Styela clava: one gene and its partner. The protein of the gene in region 2 binds, or shares a complex with, the protein of the main gene of each other region. Links are inferred from orthologs where the notes say so. Each region holds a gene or a part of one and is shown on either strand. Other genes may lie near its edges. The genes, in order: xenotropic and polytropic retrovirus receptor 1 homolog and kinase D-interacting substrate of 220 kDa-like.

Region 1 (8,708 bases), on a different chromosome or scaffold from region 2:
TGGAAAACAACATTTTTTGGCTCAACGCTCAAGTATTCATTATTAATATTATACAGTTTCAGAACAACTATCATTCCATCATATTCCATGTTTACTTCAATTCAAACTCTTGCCATTCTTAATAATAATAAAACATAGGTTTCACATAATGACTGATATTATAGTAAATCCATAAGGCTGCAATACAAGTCTGAACAGTAGGTCATGTAAGAATAGTGAATTTATTACTCTAAGCAAGTGCCCTTTTCTCAATTAATTCAATTTCAGGTGAGAGTCCCCTCATGAATAAAATATATATGCACAGGTATCGAATTTGCAAATAGCTTCCAACAGTGTCCATGAAATACCATAAAAAAAAAAACAAATACGGAATTGACAAATACATTCAAAATACAAATAAGATGGTAGAAAAGAATGTTTCATAATTCAAGCGTGGTGAATTTTTGTCTTACACTCTTACTGTACAATATTTGGTTATAGCAACAGTAAAATCTTGGATTTCATGTTCTTAAATATTTTGGAACTTTGGATGGTTTGCTTAGAAGAATAAAAATTAGTGACTGAAAGACTCTCACAATGAATCAATGCAAATGAGAAGCAAAATCATTACTACTAAACTATGGAAACAGATGTATCACAAAATTGTCTGACATTTTTTGGTTTCCAAATTTTAGCCATGACATCCAATTTTCACCGTTTTGATTATCTCGATGACTTTATACGGTAATTCACAATATTTACTACATAAAGATGTATTTTTTCAGATGTATTCTCAATCTGGCAAGGTTTCAAACATAAATAATACAGCACTATGATTAGCACCATTATATAAAGTTTACCTATTAGATGACAAAAAATGATCGATAAGAGAATAATATTTCAATCAAATAGCACTTGTACTTGTTCCTTCCTCGTCAGAGCCCCCACTGCCGACATACAACATAACACCAGAAGAAGCATTATGACGAATAGATGATCCTACTTTGCGAGATAAATTTGATCCTAGTGATTTCCCCCCAGAACCACCTTCCCGCACTCTTCTTCTATAATCCTCCACACCATTTTCGTCATCCATCATACGCATTAATGTCGCAAGATCATCTTCTCGTAGTGGTGCAACTGAAATATCCCGAACTGCTCGAAACTCACCACAGTTATTTAAATGTTCGTTCTCAAGTCGAAAAAAATTCCAAATAAAACGTCGAAAAACTTCCAATATAACAAAAACAGTTTTTAATATCCCATTAGAAACAGTTGATTTTAAAGTATGGGTGATTGCAACACTTATTACCCAAGAAAATCTTAAAATAAAATCTTCAACAATAGCAAAATAGTAATACGCTTTATAGGAATAAACAATCTCTTCACGTAGCCATTTATTTTCACCAGCATTTTTGTCTAAAAATCCCCAGTCCATTTTTATGTCCCAAGCTAGCGTATAACAGCTGCTTATAAACAAGCTAGCTAACCACAAATAAAAATATACACTGTTTAGTTCACCTGTATGGTCAAAATGCAACACGAACAATGCATTGAATAGCACTTTGAAAAAAACTGTTGAGTACTTGCCAGCATTTACAAAATGAGGGAACCATTTTCTGCTGTCATAAAAACGTCTGAGGCATTGAATAAAACGTATCCATGCTGGGTAGCATGCAAGAACTGCACGTAGACCATATGAATATGAAGCACATGTTCTTAAATTTTTTTCGCCTCTCCATCCATCCCATATATTTCCATCAAAGCCATAGAAGCATACAACGAATTCAAAGTCAATATATAATGAGACAAGACTGTTCAATTGATCTGCCAGCCAGAAATCAGCAAATTCAACGTGATAAAACCCACAAGCAAACAGTCGCCACATTCGACATAAAAGCCAAAACCTGGCCTTATGGTACAGAATAGGTAAGGGATTCAGTAGAAAGATTAAATAAGTCGCGTACAATAATCCAGGATTGAGATAAACAGGAAAATGATCCGAGAGAGGTTCTAAATTGCCAAATATCAAAAATATACCACTGATGGCCCAAAGAATCCCTGCTAATGCAGCTAGCTCAAACAAATGGTAATGTGACAAATGATTTCGAGGATCTATTTCAAATATAAGCACGTGATTCACTCCAGCAGATCGCCATCCCCATGTGTTAATCCCAATGAAGAATAAAAACAAGAAGAGTACTAATCCAGGCCGATAAAGGTCCAATGCCAGCCATGGATCCACTTTTACTTCCAATATTATTGCAGATATTATTCCCACAACAAATATCATGCACAATATACCTAAGAAGAGGCCTACTCGAAAGACCGTCCATCTTGGATACATTTCAAACTCACTCAGTGGTGGCACACGTAATCTTTTCATTGCCTTGGAACGATCCCCTCCCTCCAAATCATTTATGTATTTTGTCTCTGTTTTTAAAATTAATTGTGAGTTATGTGTATCTGTATAAAAAGGGGCTGTTTCCACATATTTTTGACGCCATTTGCACCCTTTATCAGTTTCAAGCATTTTATCATGCTTTTTGAGAATTTTACGAAAACCAGTGAAGTTTAATTCTTGGTAATTTTGTAGGAGGATAAGACTCAAATAGAATTCAGAAAAAGCCAATTTGAGATCTTTCACAGTTTTGACTTGGACATTTTTTCTTGTGGGTATTAGAAATTCACTTTTTCTTCTTTGTCGCACAGGCCCCTTTTTCAAAAGGGATGCTTTTTGTGCTTGGAGTTCGCTTTGAAGTGTTGCAAACTTTCTGGTTGATTCAGCCAGCTTCTCAGCATAAAATGTATTAACTTTAGTTAATTCCTTGTCACAAATAGCAAAGAATTTTTCTTCGAATCGTGCATAGTATCGCTGTACTGTTGCTTCTTCTGTGATTTCAGCATCAGGACTTTCTTCTCTACAGTCATAGAGTAAAGTTTTCAGAAATTCATAATCTATGTATTGACTCCTCCATTCAGGAGTCAAATGAGCTTGTAAATTCTCACCAAACTTCATTATTATAATATTAGTTCAACAAACACACTCTTTAGATATCTGAAAATAAATAGAAGATTTGATTCTAGCACTTTTACTTACATTAGACATATTAAGATCACATGTTGAAGCAAGATTGGATAAATATACAGACATAGGACAGTTTTTATGGAAAATCTTAGCGATATAAAAAGTAAACCAAAATGATTCATATGACTGGAGGCCGAAGAGCTTAAACTTTGATTCTTACCTAAATCAATATCTGGATAAGAATACCGGTACCATCCTTGACAGTAGTGTAACTGAGATATCCAATTTAAATTACTTCTGTATGTATCTTAATTAGTCTCGTAAAAGCAATATAAAAGAATTAGTAATTATAAATACTGAAGACGGGATGTATGCTGGACCATACTGGCCCAAAACACAAATGTGCGGCATACACCCCATTTGATAGGTATAAATTATAATATGGTAAATCAAATACGTATAATATGGTCCTTATACAGACAGTTGTGCAAGGAGGGTGAGTGGGTGTAATAACAGAGATAAGGATGGAGAATACAAAACTGTTTGTACAAAGGAGTTTGTAAGACAAAACAACATCTATAAATAGAAACACAACATGAAACACACTGCATGTAAATATAGTAATAAAAGAATTTGGATGTAAGTACAACACCACTGAGTGATGATACCACATACTATAAATCGGGGGAATGGTCAAGTTTAAAGAGTGTGCACATATATGGTATGCACCACTCAAGGGTGATAGTGTTATAAGTGGTCTATGACTGTTCTGGCAAAAATGTGACCCTACAAGTTATTGTGAAATGTGATTATGTTATGTATCAAATTACTCACTCTTCTAAGGTTTTTCCAATTCTGGATTCAGCCAAAACTGCAAAAGCAATGCAGTTTCAAAAAAAAAATTAATTAAAAGCATTTCCACAAAACTTATTATGGTTGCAATTCAGCCAGAAGTTTATAATGGTATAAAAGGACAGTGTGATAGGGTATAATAAGTGTTAAAGAGAAGCCATTTTACCATGTCATGGATTTTTCAAAGTAAATTAAAGTAATAGAACAATATGGTATCCTGGGATGAACTGGAGGAATTGAAAACCACTAGCCATTGTTTGAATTATACCGACCAATAAAACGAATACGGTAAGTTCTATACAAGATTACTGAATCACTTGGAATCTACGGTACGGTATCCGATCTCTGGATCTATTGAAATGTCTACAGATTTTTCTTCAGGTTAACATATTGCCAGTATTGAGCTTTACAATATTTACAAAATGCGTACATATATACTAGATAATTCTACAACATCACATAATTTCCTGTCTACCCCATGTACTTCGTCAATACCGGTAGTAGCTAGGTTTTCATTAAACTGTACTGGTACAATTATGGCTAAATAAAGACAGGGAACTGTTATTAAAAAGCGTTATCGCCTCTCGCTATGTCACGCCACTGCGCGTATGGCGCCACTAGGTCGTGGCTTCACTTTGTCTGTGTATCCTATCTTTGCAACAAAAATTAGATTAAGATCGAGAATCTATGTGTTTATTAAAAAAAAAGTTATGCCACAATTTTCAAAACTGCATAAATTGCCGGCTGTTGGGGCCTGCACAAGGGAGAGAGAGAGATATTTATTATTTTGTCAACCAAAAAACAAAACAGTCACCAATACGAAAAAAAATACGTAACACAAATAAAATTGCTTTGGTATTGACCAAAGCAACTATAATAGTCTCTTTATAGTCATTTTGGTACTGACGGGAGGGAGCGATACGACCATGGTCGGAATGGTCAATCGAGGTCAACTCCCAACCTATTTGCTGATGAGATTAAGGTTCACATTGAAGATGACTATTAGAAAAGTTGGTCTGTCAATAAATACTTACAAAAATTCGATTTAATCTCAGAAAACTAGGTTGGAGCATTTTTCCTATGAATACAGTTTTGATGTATTTGAGGTTGGGTTACAGGTTTAAATAGATATAATTCCGCATGATAAACTAATATCTGGTACATGACTTTGTGAATACTGAATAGCGCCATAAAACCATGGCAAGAGACGCCGCGGTTCGTTCGAGGCAGGAGCTGCCATGAAGTGGTACCGTACCGGTAGTTCTACAGAGAAGTACCATACCTGTACCCTTTCTTTTACCTGGCTCGGACGTTTACAGGTCTCTGATTGAAAATGAATGGCGTTAACAGAGATTCACATAGTAGAGTTGAGCAGGACATTGATGAATCTGAACAATTAACCTCCGAAGAAATGTCAGATTTCCTTTCTCAGATTGAAGAGTTCACACCCACTGTAAGTTCAGGAAGTTGTAACTTACAGACTTAACATGTTGTTTTTATAAATCCTGACTGAAGTCAGTAAATACTGCTGTACTGGGAATTATTCAACAACTCTGAATTTTTTGTACTATAATGAATAATTTAAGTACCAATATCTTTGTGATACAGTGATAATATAATATCAAAACGATTATAAATTTTGACTTTTGCTATTCCAGTAAATAGTTTTAATTTTCGTCTATGCAGTATATTTTTCATTTTTAGTTTGGGGTCCAATACCTTGCCTTAGGCAAATTTGTGTGGGGAAGGATGGGATTTACATATTTATCCATGGGGAGAGAAAAGTCGATAAGACGGCTTAATCATATGGCGAACCACTGCCTCTTGCAGTCTTGTCTGGTTACCATTCCATGTCAGGTATGGGATTAGTTATTTGTTTTTGGAAGCATGGAAGTATTGCAAAAAATAGTAGTAGTCCACACATCTAACGGCTCAAATAATCTGTAAAAAATATACCTATCAATCATTATACGTATTGGTGTTTAAGTTTACAAATCTGTGAATCAAGTTACATTCAAAGATATTACTCTGATTGAACAGATTCCAGACTCCGTTGCTGCACACTATTTGAGCAAATCTGGTGTTGATACTACGGACGGAAGAATGTAAGTATTATTTATCGGTAAATGTGTATGCAGGTTTTAAATATGATGCTCCTGTTTCGTATTTTAACGTTGTAATTTTCACATTATAGAGTTCGAATCCTAGCACTGGCTGCTCAAAAATTCATGTCTGATATAATCAACGATGCTCTTCAGACTAGCAAGCTAAAGGGATCATCTCAACAGTCAAGATCTAGTAAAGCAAAAGAGAAAAAGTAAGTTTTATACGGATAGTCGGTTTACCATCTACACAAATTTAATATGTCTTCTTTTTAAAGATATGTGTTGACTTTGGACGATCTTGCACCAGCACTTTCAGAATATGGTATCAATGTAAAGAAGCCTCCGTACTATACATGATTATCAATAAATGGAAGAACGCTCTGGACTGGGATGCCACAAAAAAAATGCTTAAGCATTGTGTCTTGATATGAATGGTGTTCACTACCTTATCAAATTTGATTGACGCTGGAAGGCCGAGCATCATAGATTGTTCAAAGTGCTTGTAAAGCATCTATACCAGGCCCTGGGTGATAGTACCTTAGACAAGTATTCTCTTAATTTTTATTTTTTTCAATGTGTTGTATTTTGTGATGTCAAATGTTTATTGTTATAAGTAATTTCCCTTTTTATTTATTATTTGGGAAAATATTAGCATGAGCGTACTACTCAATGCTTCAGTAAATAAATCAGTCTGAACTTCATGTTTTCTACTGCAATTCATTAGGCTTTTAAAAGCAGTGACTTTCCAGGCTTGTTAGCATAGAGATCCACAAGTTATGGCAGTGATTCTCAAACTTTTTTTGCTCGCGGCACACTCAGCAAATAAAAAAAAATTTGCGGCACACTTGTAAAAAATTGCTTTAAACCAATTCATTCTGCAAATGTTAATACAGTGCGTGTGCCTGTTTTGGGGAAAACTAAGATTTAAGATTTAAAACAAAGTTTCGTTGCTGCCAACCGTAACCACATTTCGTTGTCAATTACAAGAAACAAAGCCATGAAGATTCAAATAGCACGATTATTTCGATGGCCTCCACACTGACAAATGAATAGGATTTGTAAGCAGGTAGCCTAACTAAGCGAGCAAGTCGTCAACATTTTGGAAGTCCACAAATACATTATAACGATCCAATACCATTTTAACGACCCCTCTCACTACATCAACAAGGCAAATGCAATACAAATTATCTAAATGGATAGTGCGGGCCCAACGAGTCTCCCAAGCTTGTCCGTTGTCTGCATGACTATGTGTAATACAAATGGCTCGATATCTAAAATTCCAAAAAGCTCAGCGGCACACAGTTTGAGAAACACTGAGTTATGGAATAGTTGTTGAATTTATCAGATTTGGAGATTGAGTGGTCAGCTGCCAAGCCATACACTCACAGATAACGACGGTACCGTACTTTGACATCTAGAATTCCTGATCTTTTGAATAGATTTGGTTGTCACTCGGCATCCTACTATGATTTATTTATGCTTTTTTTTACTTGATAAATAATAAAACTTGACTATGACTTATCTTTGTACATATGAATACCCAGGTTATCAAACCTCTTAATTTCTCGGGTATTTGTTTCTAATAGTAGTATACAAGGATCTGAGAAGTGAGTTCCAAATGACAGAGGTTCTCATATGAATTCTGCTGACGAGAGGACAAAACTAAGTAAGAGCATCTAGACAATTAAGTGTGACGCGCTAGTCTTTAATCAAGTCATTGTACCATAATGATTCAGAATATAGACATATTTGCAAGGGTTAGGAGTCAAAAACCAGAAACTCATTGCATAGCATTTATTATGCAGCAAATACTTGAGGTAATTAGCAAATTACATTCTGAATCTATCTATTTCTCTCTCAGAGTTGGTGGATAGCGTATGATCCAAAAGTTTAGTAATTTTTCAATGATGGGCAAAGTTTGTCAAGATATGGTGGACCAAATGAATACAAAAGGTGTAAAAAAAGATGTCGATTCAATCTTGAATTGCATGATGTGTTCCATTGGAGTGAATATCTCTTCGTCGAACATGTTTTGCCTTTCTGTTGTTATCTAATAAACTTGTTGAGTCAAAGCCCACTTCCTCATTGCTGGTGGATTCTCCTGCATCACAGTCTACAATGGCCTTTGAAGTAGTTTCTTTGACCATTGCTTTAAACCTCGGAAACCTGTTAAAAATATATGAACTGCTTTATCAGTTGATGTCACTTATATACAAATAGGTAATTTTGTATAAAATATTCTGGTTTATCTTTGGAGAGATGGACTGAGTATAGGAGAAAAAGGAGGGATGCACTGTCCGGTGGTAGGGTTGCAAAATTGAATATGAAGAAACATGATATTTCCGTTGCCTGATCTCGTCAATAAATTATTAATTGTGGGGTGTAAAATTCTATGCTTTAGAACGTGGTTCCTTTTTAGAGTTTTAGAGGACCCACTATTTATTACCACAGCTTATGGCGACCCATTTAATTTTTATGACATAACACAGAACACAACAATGGCTAATCATCGCAAAACTACAGTGTTTCCTCGAAAATAAGACCTGGCCTGAAAATAAGATCTAATTTCAATTTTAAAAATGATTTTAAATAAACCCTAACCCTTAAAATAAATTTAAAATGTGTGGGAGAGGAAAGGTTCAATAACCTGAGGTAAGGTGGAGATCACACCACTATTCAAGATTGTGTGATATCACAATTATGATATTTGTCACTTGATTTTTTGGACCTCCTGAAGTATGCGC
Region 2 (8,366 bases):
AAGCCCACATGAGTGATGTCCAACCAACCTGAGAAAAAAGATTATGGTCTGTTCAAAAATATTATAAAATGCAAACAACTACACTGATAATCAAAATGATTATGTAAATGTCAAATTATACCAATTTCACAATATTCATTCTATGTTCAGATATATATAAGATATTTTTATATTTAAGATATTCAAGAATAATAAAATGCGAGAAAAATAACTTGCTGACAAAAGTAAATATTTATGTGTGAGCAAAAAAAGTAAAAGGTTATCAATCAACTTACAACTGAAAGTTCTTTAAAATTGGTCAATTATACAACAATTTGTTGTAAGCGCAGTGTTTTCACATGGCTTCATCATTCATGAAAAATGATTTATTATAAAACTAAAGTAATATTTTAAATCAAAAATAATCTGCCACAAACACTTTAAAAAAGTGTTCATCTAAAATCAAACTGTATCAACTCACATTGTCCGTTACATGCACATCAGCATTATCTTTCAATAATAACTGCACACATGCCAAAGATCCACTTCTACTTGCAGCAATTAATGGAGTTGTTCCTTCCTGATCTTTTGCTTCTGTATTAGCTTCAGAAGAAATAAAAATTGTTGCAACTTCTGGTCTTCCTAATTCACACGCAACATGTAAAGCAGTTTGCTGAAACTGAATTAGGCATGAGATATTATTAAGTGACCAGAATACAATAACACCTACCGTATATTAGGGATGCGACAAAATTCGGGCTTGTGCTCGGATTCGTGACCGAATCTCTTGTAATTTGATACTCGGATTCGGACCGAGCCCTTGATGATTTTATCCGAGTCCGGCACATCATACGTCAATCGCAGACTGATGGCGTATTCAACGAGAAATTCAATTTTTCGCTCTTTTCTGCCACGCAAAGTGCATATTCACGACGCCGTAAGGCGTTTAAGAACAAAACAGTCTGCTGAATAAATTCCAGAGTTGCGTGTAGCTCGCCTCCCCTTGCCAGACGACGTTTGGTGAATGTTAGGCACGTCCTATTTTTAAGCATATATTTGCTAATCCTTGAACAGTAACTAATCCGTAATCTGCGGTAACCGTGTCACCCTGTTCGCTTTTTATGGTTCCATAAATGAGCTAGCTATTTCCAGAGAGAAACAAATGTCAGAAATGTTAGAAATAAGCGATAAAAATAGTGAAAATTAATTCTGAGAGAAAGGTATAACTCTCAGATGTCAGTGGCTTTACAATCGTATATATGCAAAAAACGAGCTCACAAGTAGAATTGATTAAATGTGCATAAAATGTGAAACTATTACTCGTGGTAATTTAATGTTAATCGGGCTGAATTTTCATTGTTATTCAATAAATATTTACATCCAAGACATCATGCGTCAATCGCAGACTGATAACGCATTCAACGAGAAATTCAACTTTTTCTTTCTGTTTTACCACGCAAAGTGCATATTCACGACGCCCTAAGGTGTTTAAAAACAAAAAAATGTCAGTGAAAGTCTTCTGAATAAATTCCAGAGTTGCGTGTAGCTCACCTACCCTTGCCAGTCGTCGTTTGGTGAATGTTTGGCACGCCCTATCTCAAGCATATTTTTGCTAATCCTCAAACAGTAACTAATCCGTAATCAGCGGTAAACATGTCACGCTGTTCGCTTTTTATTGGTCAATAAATGAACAACAAATGTGAGAAATATAACGATAAAATTGTAAAACTAATTTTGAGAAAAAAGTATAACTCACAGATGTCAGTGGCGTTACATTCGTATATACGCAGGGTTACCATGACATGCTAAGCTTATTTCTAAGATTTGTGCTATTTTCTAGCCCGCGTCTTATAAAGTAATAAAGTAATAATGTGCTTATTTCTAAGAAAAGTGCTAATTTTTGAGTTGCGCGCTTATTTTGTCTTAGGGAGCATGGATGACTCGTTCATGTTTTGCGTACAAAACTTCCGCGGAAAAGATGTTGGGACGTTTATCATTATTCACGCTTCGTTTTGTTATTATTGTGACGGAAGGGTTTGCGGTATTTCCAGGCAGCAATATCAACCTAGAGGCTATGGAGAAAACATCAATTAATGTCCACAATACTACCACAAGGATTGCATTGTGGGAAACCAAAGTATGAAAACTTTAGAGGTTGCGAATGGCTGTGACTTCGTGTCTTCCACGGCTTTTTGCGGTTTCGGGTCTGCACACAACCTTGTCTGAAGCGACTTATAATAAAAATAAAAATTTAGAAGTGCGAAAAAGGCTAGTGTATGATTTCTTTGTCATTTTTATTCTATGTTTCTGCCGTTGTTACGTACCCCCCAAAAAATAAAAATTTCAACACCCGTGATTATTTTTGGCATTGGGTAGATGGTAACCCTGTGCACAAAAAAGCTCGCAAGTCGCATCGAATAAATGTGCATGAAACGTGATATTATTACTCGTGGTAATTTAATGTTTATCGAGCTGAATTTTTATTATTTTTGTTACTCAATAAATATTTACATATGCGGCGATCAGTGACAGGTAAAATCTAATTTTTCCTGGTCGAATAATTCAAATATTCCTTTTTATTTACTGATAATAAGAAATTACTTTTTCAGTTCTTAATTTGATCACAATCGCGAATTGTTTTTTTTGTGTCACCACGATCGTTTCGGCGACCGACATCATAATTATTGTTGGTAAACTATATTTCAAAGTACTAGTATTAGTTCTCACGCAACGGCGGACAACGAAGTTTGATTTTTATATTTCAGGCAGAAATATATCGGGATCATTACGACCAGAAACGAGAGAAGTAGCTTGCTTGATTTCGGGTGATCGTCTGTGCGTTTTGGTCGACAAAACGTATACTTTGACAGGCCTTATTTCGTCACTGTGACGTTATAGTGATGTAATTTATGGATGGCATAGTCAGGTGGGGGTTAGAAATGACATATGCGAAAATGGCTACGCCACGTCAACTAGAAGTAGCCTACTTGATGGCATTTAGTGAACTAGCCTCGATAGTTTGATTTGAGAAATTCATAATATTATACACAAATCAAAAATGGAGAATTCTGGAGTGAGAGTAAAACCTTTAAAAAATTTAAAACATGAAAAATGTCATGTGATGCTCACCGGCACAAACACAAAAAAAATTACAAAGGACACGAACCTAGTTAAACAAGGCTTGTGCCAGAAATAAAATTATACGAATGTATTGAACTTTTGGCTGTTATACTTTTAAAACTTCTGAATATGGCAACAAACCAGAGGATATAATCCAACTCATGTAATATTAAAATGGCATAGGTCAGTATGGGTATCATTGTTTACCTCTCTCATAGAATAAATATGAAAACCTAGCATATCATAACAACACAAGGTAAATATGCAAATGCAAAAATGACTAACCTGATTTCGTTGATCCACTGGGATGTTTTTAAGTGCATTTTCCACTTCAGTTGTTGTTCCATTGGATACAATATCATGCAATAACAAAGGTTCCAAAAATTGTAACTCGACAACTTTTCCCCGATCTTGGGTCATTTCTGTCCCGGTACTTAAGTATAAAGCTTGATATTACTTAGGGGGAATGACTAAAAGTAGGCACTTCAATAAAGAATGATTGACGTTAGATTAATTATTACAGTATTAGTTATAACGCCAATATCGAATTGCAGTATCGGTCTATTTTAGCATTTTCTACAGTTCTAATACAGTAATAGTCATAAATACAAGTTATGATAAACAAAACAGCTGCTGAAAGTATCGAGAAGATTCTTTTGGATATATTTCACTATTGGTCTGCGCCAAGATCTGAAGATACAGAGACAATGTAGATAAGATAAGTCCATTTCGACTCCATAATCACCATAAAAGGTGATTGATCAATTGATAAAAATAAATAAATAAAAACTGATTATGAAATTAGGAGAGCAAACAAAACCTTGGATAAGGGTACAGAATATAAGATGAAAGGTTTTGCGAAAAAGAAGTCGTACATGTTCACTTACCCAAAATTATTGAATCAATTCACACACACACGCACAACCATGGGGGTAAAATAAAGTTAGAAAAATGAGCTTTAGATAAATTTAAATGACACAAACAAACGAAAAGATAAATAAATGAAAAAGAAATTAAAATAAAAAATAAGAATTGTAATTAAAAATAAGAATCATTTGCCACACCATTTTAATAATTTTATAAAAGTTCTCAAATTGAATACAGATTATGTAAACAAGAGTGAACAGTATTCATTATGGACATAAAGCAGTAAAGACATAAAAAAAGATTTCACCAAGCTCATTAAAGTTGGGAGCCAAATTGCCCAACCAAAGTTGGGAGTCAAATTGCCCAACCAAAGTTGGGTGCATGACTGCATAAAGAGGTGGGTTAACCGCATGTTATCTTCTTTTGCTACATGACAAATAGTAAGAACTCATTTGTCTTGAATTATCACATACCGTACCTAATTCCATCAGCATTGGGGTGATACAGTGATAGGCTAGTCACATCAACAACAGGACAGAGTCTAACCAAATAAACTATAACCTGACCTGATGTCTGACAATCTTGCAATCTGACATTACGAATCTACCCTACAGCCATGTTTCTTTCAAGAACTGAAGAATACCGGTAATACCGGTACAGGTCTCAGGTCTGCAGGTCAATCAATTAATCAAATTGTTTTATTAGGTGACAGTACATTTGAACCCATGTACATTTGAACCCATGCGTATATCTACGGGTTCAATCTATATGCGGGTGCTAAAACCCATGGGTTAGGGTTAGTATCGGTTTAACTATCCGAGAAACAAAAAAAATTCCATAGGTGCAATAGCATACAGGTGCAATTGTCATGGGTTCAAATGTAATGGAACCGTTTTATTAGGATAGGATAGGATTTACATATTTATCCCGGGGGAGAGGAAAGCCGATAAGACGGCTTATCCATATGGCGAACCACGGCCTCTCGTCCTGTTACCATTCCAAGTCGGGTATGGGATTAGTTATATTGTTTGTTTTCGGAAGCATGGACTTGGTACTAGACTTATTAGCTGTTCAGGAAAGTCACAATAAAATGTAAGCAAATAAATTCACGAAATATTCATATTATTCCGGGCTTTGCCCGGAATTATCATGATATCCGTGACTATTCGGTGTAGTGTACTTGGGGTAGCGGATATAGGGTACCGGTACCTTATTTACGCCCAGCTGCGTGAATAAAACTTAGGATACAAAATTACCAGAAACGCTTTTGTGCGAGAACATCATGGCCTCAAGATGGCGCTAAAAGGCAATAATCATCTTGTTATTATTTTTGGGATTTTTAGCTTGATGTTTTTAAAAGAGAATTCAAGGGAAAAGCTGTTATGTATTAATTATGGAGTCGAAATAAACTTATACTTATACTTTAGAACTTTGTGTACACATAATAGATAAAATAGTGTAATATTAAAGAGGTACCAGTACTCATACTGGTAGCTGAAGATAGAAGGCGTTAGTAGTAGAAGTAACAGAATGAACGGTAATGCAGTAATGGTATGTATTCTCATTTATTCTACCTATTATGGTGCGTGACAATTTGAAATAGTCTCAGATAGGGCTGGGCATTTTCGAAACGAAATTTTGCCTTTGAAACGAAACACACGTTTGTCATAAACAGTAAAATATGATACCATTATTACCCATCGAATTTAATGTATAATGACATATATTTTCCACAATTAAATCCACAAAAGGATATCACTGGATGCTAATTCGAGAGGATAAAACGATAATGATAATTCCACGAATGTTTCTGCTCAATGACAAAGCAGCGGCCAAATGGCGCCAGGATAATACGAATTACGTCATTGTTAGAGATGGGGCTCACAAGCAGCAGAGCATGGGGCCTCTCAACATCTCAATGCGGCCCTGCCCTCATCTAATGTAATGGGTGGGGTCATTTTCTAATTTATCCGATGCCACAAATTCTTGTGATCCAGTGTGGTAATTATACTAGGGAGAGCCATAACCGAGTACCTGACTATTTCAAATACATTCTGGAAAAAGATATTTTTGAATCTTCCGAATTCCGAATACATTCTAAACTCCAGGAACATAGGAATTGGTCTTTTATTAAAATTAGTTATTTTTTTTCCTCTAAGGAAATGGACTTGGTAAACATTACAGTATTTATGAATTATGGTGTATCGTGGCAAGCACAGAAAAAAGAACAACTAGGTGGAATGTTTAAATTATACAGTAAAATCAACAATAACTCGGATTTTTGATACGCCTAATTTTCGTTGTGACCCTGACTGTTTATTATCGTCAGCGTTACATCGACATCGTTGAGCTAAATTTGATTTGATTTTAGATTTATTGCGCAGTTACCCAGAGTGTCCCAGACTATCTCAACTATGTTAAAATATACCATAATAATTGTAAAATATTTTTAATTAAAAACTTCCTCGACGTGTTATAAATTTTCAATCAAAACGTGGACGGCGGCGCTAGGACGTTTGCGCGATATTTAATATTTTTATAAACACTAAAAACGATATTTGAGAGTCACGATATTCGAATAAATTTTGATATCAAATTCGAATTGGACATCCCTGAATGATACCTTGACTAATTTCAGGTTGCATTTGCTATGACGTCATAATATCCGTTTCGAAGGTCGAAACGCCGCCGTTTCGACATATCAGTGTTTCGAAACGCCCAGCCCTAGTCTCAGACAATCATGGTAAATGAAATAATTGTTAAGTCAAGTTTGCAGTACATCATGTTTTTTAATGTTAATCGATATTGATCTTTCTCCCAATGTTTTCGATGTCTTTAAAGTAGGAACGTGAATTCCAATCCACTCAACGTTGTTATAGTGAAGTCCTATTTGCACCCGCATCCGTCTTGAAGAATTATGCGCAATCTCCCAGCTTCTAGTAACTGCACAACAAAAGTAAAAAGGCAACGAGATCCTCAGAAAACGAACTGTATTCATCGATCTCCACATATAAGTAAAATGTTGCTACAGCACAGAAACTTGAAGACCAACGATAAAACTAATTTATAACGACACGGATGCACTATTATAAATAAACAATGAAAGAATGATAAAATAACAATTACAATAACAAGCAATATTAGCCAATACTAAATAGGGCCTAACTAAGCCAACTTAATATGACAGATTTCACGAAGCCCGCACCCCTAATATAAACTGTATCCAAGGCAAATCTCAATATTAAACGACACTTTCGCAATCCCACAGTGTCGTATAGAACAAAGTATCAGAAAAGGGCATTATATCAAAACCCGGGGAAAAGTTTCGCTTCCTATGTCTTTACTATGGCGCAATAATGAGTCACTGTCAACAGGAAATCAAGATAATAAAGATATACCATGATTTGTCTGGGATTGTTAAGATAATAGAGAAATATAAATGGGCAAAAGTGTGAGGCATGCAAGCCAAATCTAACAATGTTCTCGAAACGGCATATTATATTTCAGTGCAACCTAAATAATGGCTCAATTTTATTCAGCTCAAATTAAATGTTATTTTGACGTTGAGTGCCTTTTACTATCGTCAGCACAATTCTTCCATACTCCCGCATATAAATCACAAAAGTCGTGCGTTCGGTAGGTAGAAGGCTTAGAGCAGTGTTTCCCAACCCGAGTCCGCGGTCTCAAATGCTACAGGGGTGGTGACTCCTCTACGACCCATGGGCCGGGGCCACAGCCCATCTAATTGGGCCACATGGGCCGTGGCCCATCAAGCTATGGGCCGCGGCCTCGTCAGGAAAAATTCAATTATCTAATTCAACCAAAAAATAAACTCCTGTAGTATGTGTACCAGGTTAGGGTTAGGGCAAAATTTTGTTCAGATTTCTTACATTATAGTTCTATTATGAGTTTGGGGACTGTCTGTGTTAGCCAAGTGTAAAGGAACTAACTTAATGGGCCGCGGCCCATGGGCCGAAGAGGAGTCACCACTTCCACTCCTCAAATGAGCTGCAGAAAGTTCGAATGAGTCCGCATCGACCAAATTATAAAGTTATGTAGTAGTATATTTAATGTAGGTCACTAACCTTTTCAGTGTCGCAAAATTCATTGCGGGGCGAAAACGTTTTTACCAGACTCAAGTACCAGCCAAGTTACGATTTAAGTAACATAAAAGGCAAGGAGGGCTGGGCAAAATATTCGAACAGCAAACTATTGCAATACCTGGTAACATGTGACTTGGACACAACGGGTCAATCGCGCTGAATCAAACGATTAAATTGCACAACGGACTCGCAGATTTCTGACAAAAACACGAGTTAAACGTACTTTTCGCTTCCGTTAAGATTGAGTGTTGTATATGTGTTTTTTATCTATTTGTTTCCCGTAACACCATTGCTACA

The links.
Region 1: the proteins of kinase D-interacting substrate of 220 kDa-like (region 2) and xenotropic and polytropic retrovirus receptor 1 homolog are in contact, whole or in part, in a cryo-EM structure (PDB 9JXQ), measured with the Homo sapiens proteins. The link is inferred for Styela clava from reciprocal best matches to the Homo sapiens genes KIDINS220 and XPR1. Residues at the interface, in NP_065789.1 of Homo sapiens: Glu36, Cys37, Gln39, Asp70, Trp72, Met102, Trp105, Trp110, Tyr113, Lys114, Val138, Ile142, Trp143, Gly146, Arg147, Ser166, Asp167, Lys168, Tyr169, Gly170, Trp176, Arg179, Lys180, Gln198, Glu199, Gly200, Ala201, Ser203, Lys234, Arg267; in NP_004727.2 of Homo sapiens: Leu95, Lys189, Lys190, Gln193, Glu197, Ala200, Asn204, Glu205, Ala636, Asp637, Asp638, Leu641, Leu642, Gln644, Met645, Met646, Asp647, Gln648, Asp649, Asp650, Val652, Arg653, Asn654, Arg655.

The regions. Positions count from the first base shown.
Region 1 is NC_135252.1:4,383,687-4,392,394, reverse strand, and holds the start of xenotropic and polytropic retrovirus receptor 1 homolog, read right to left. Parts: upstream 3,344-8,708; 5' UTR 3,228-3,343; intron 3,038-3,227; 5' UTR 2,999-3,037; coding exon 884-2,998; 3' UTR 1-883. Other genes in the region: transcription initiation factor TFIID subunit 10-like, read left to right, coding at 5,193-5,312, 5,900-5,964, 6,054-6,176, 6,240-6,321; phosphatidylserine synthase 2-like, read right to left, coding at 7,938-8,130. UniProt on the Homo sapiens protein: Inorganic ion transporter that mediates phosphate ion export across plasma membrane.
Region 2 is NC_135250.1:11,591,023-11,599,388, reverse strand, and holds the start of kinase D-interacting substrate of 220 kDa-like, read right to left. Parts: upstream 3,601-8,366; 5' UTR 3,520-3,600; coding exon 3,385-3,519; intron 659-3,384; coding exon 461-658; intron 29-460; coding exon 1-28. UniProt on the Homo sapiens protein: Promotes a prolonged MAP-kinase signaling by neurotrophins through activation of a Rap1-dependent mechanism. Provides a docking site for the CRKL-C3G complex, resulting in Rap1-dependent sustained ERK activation.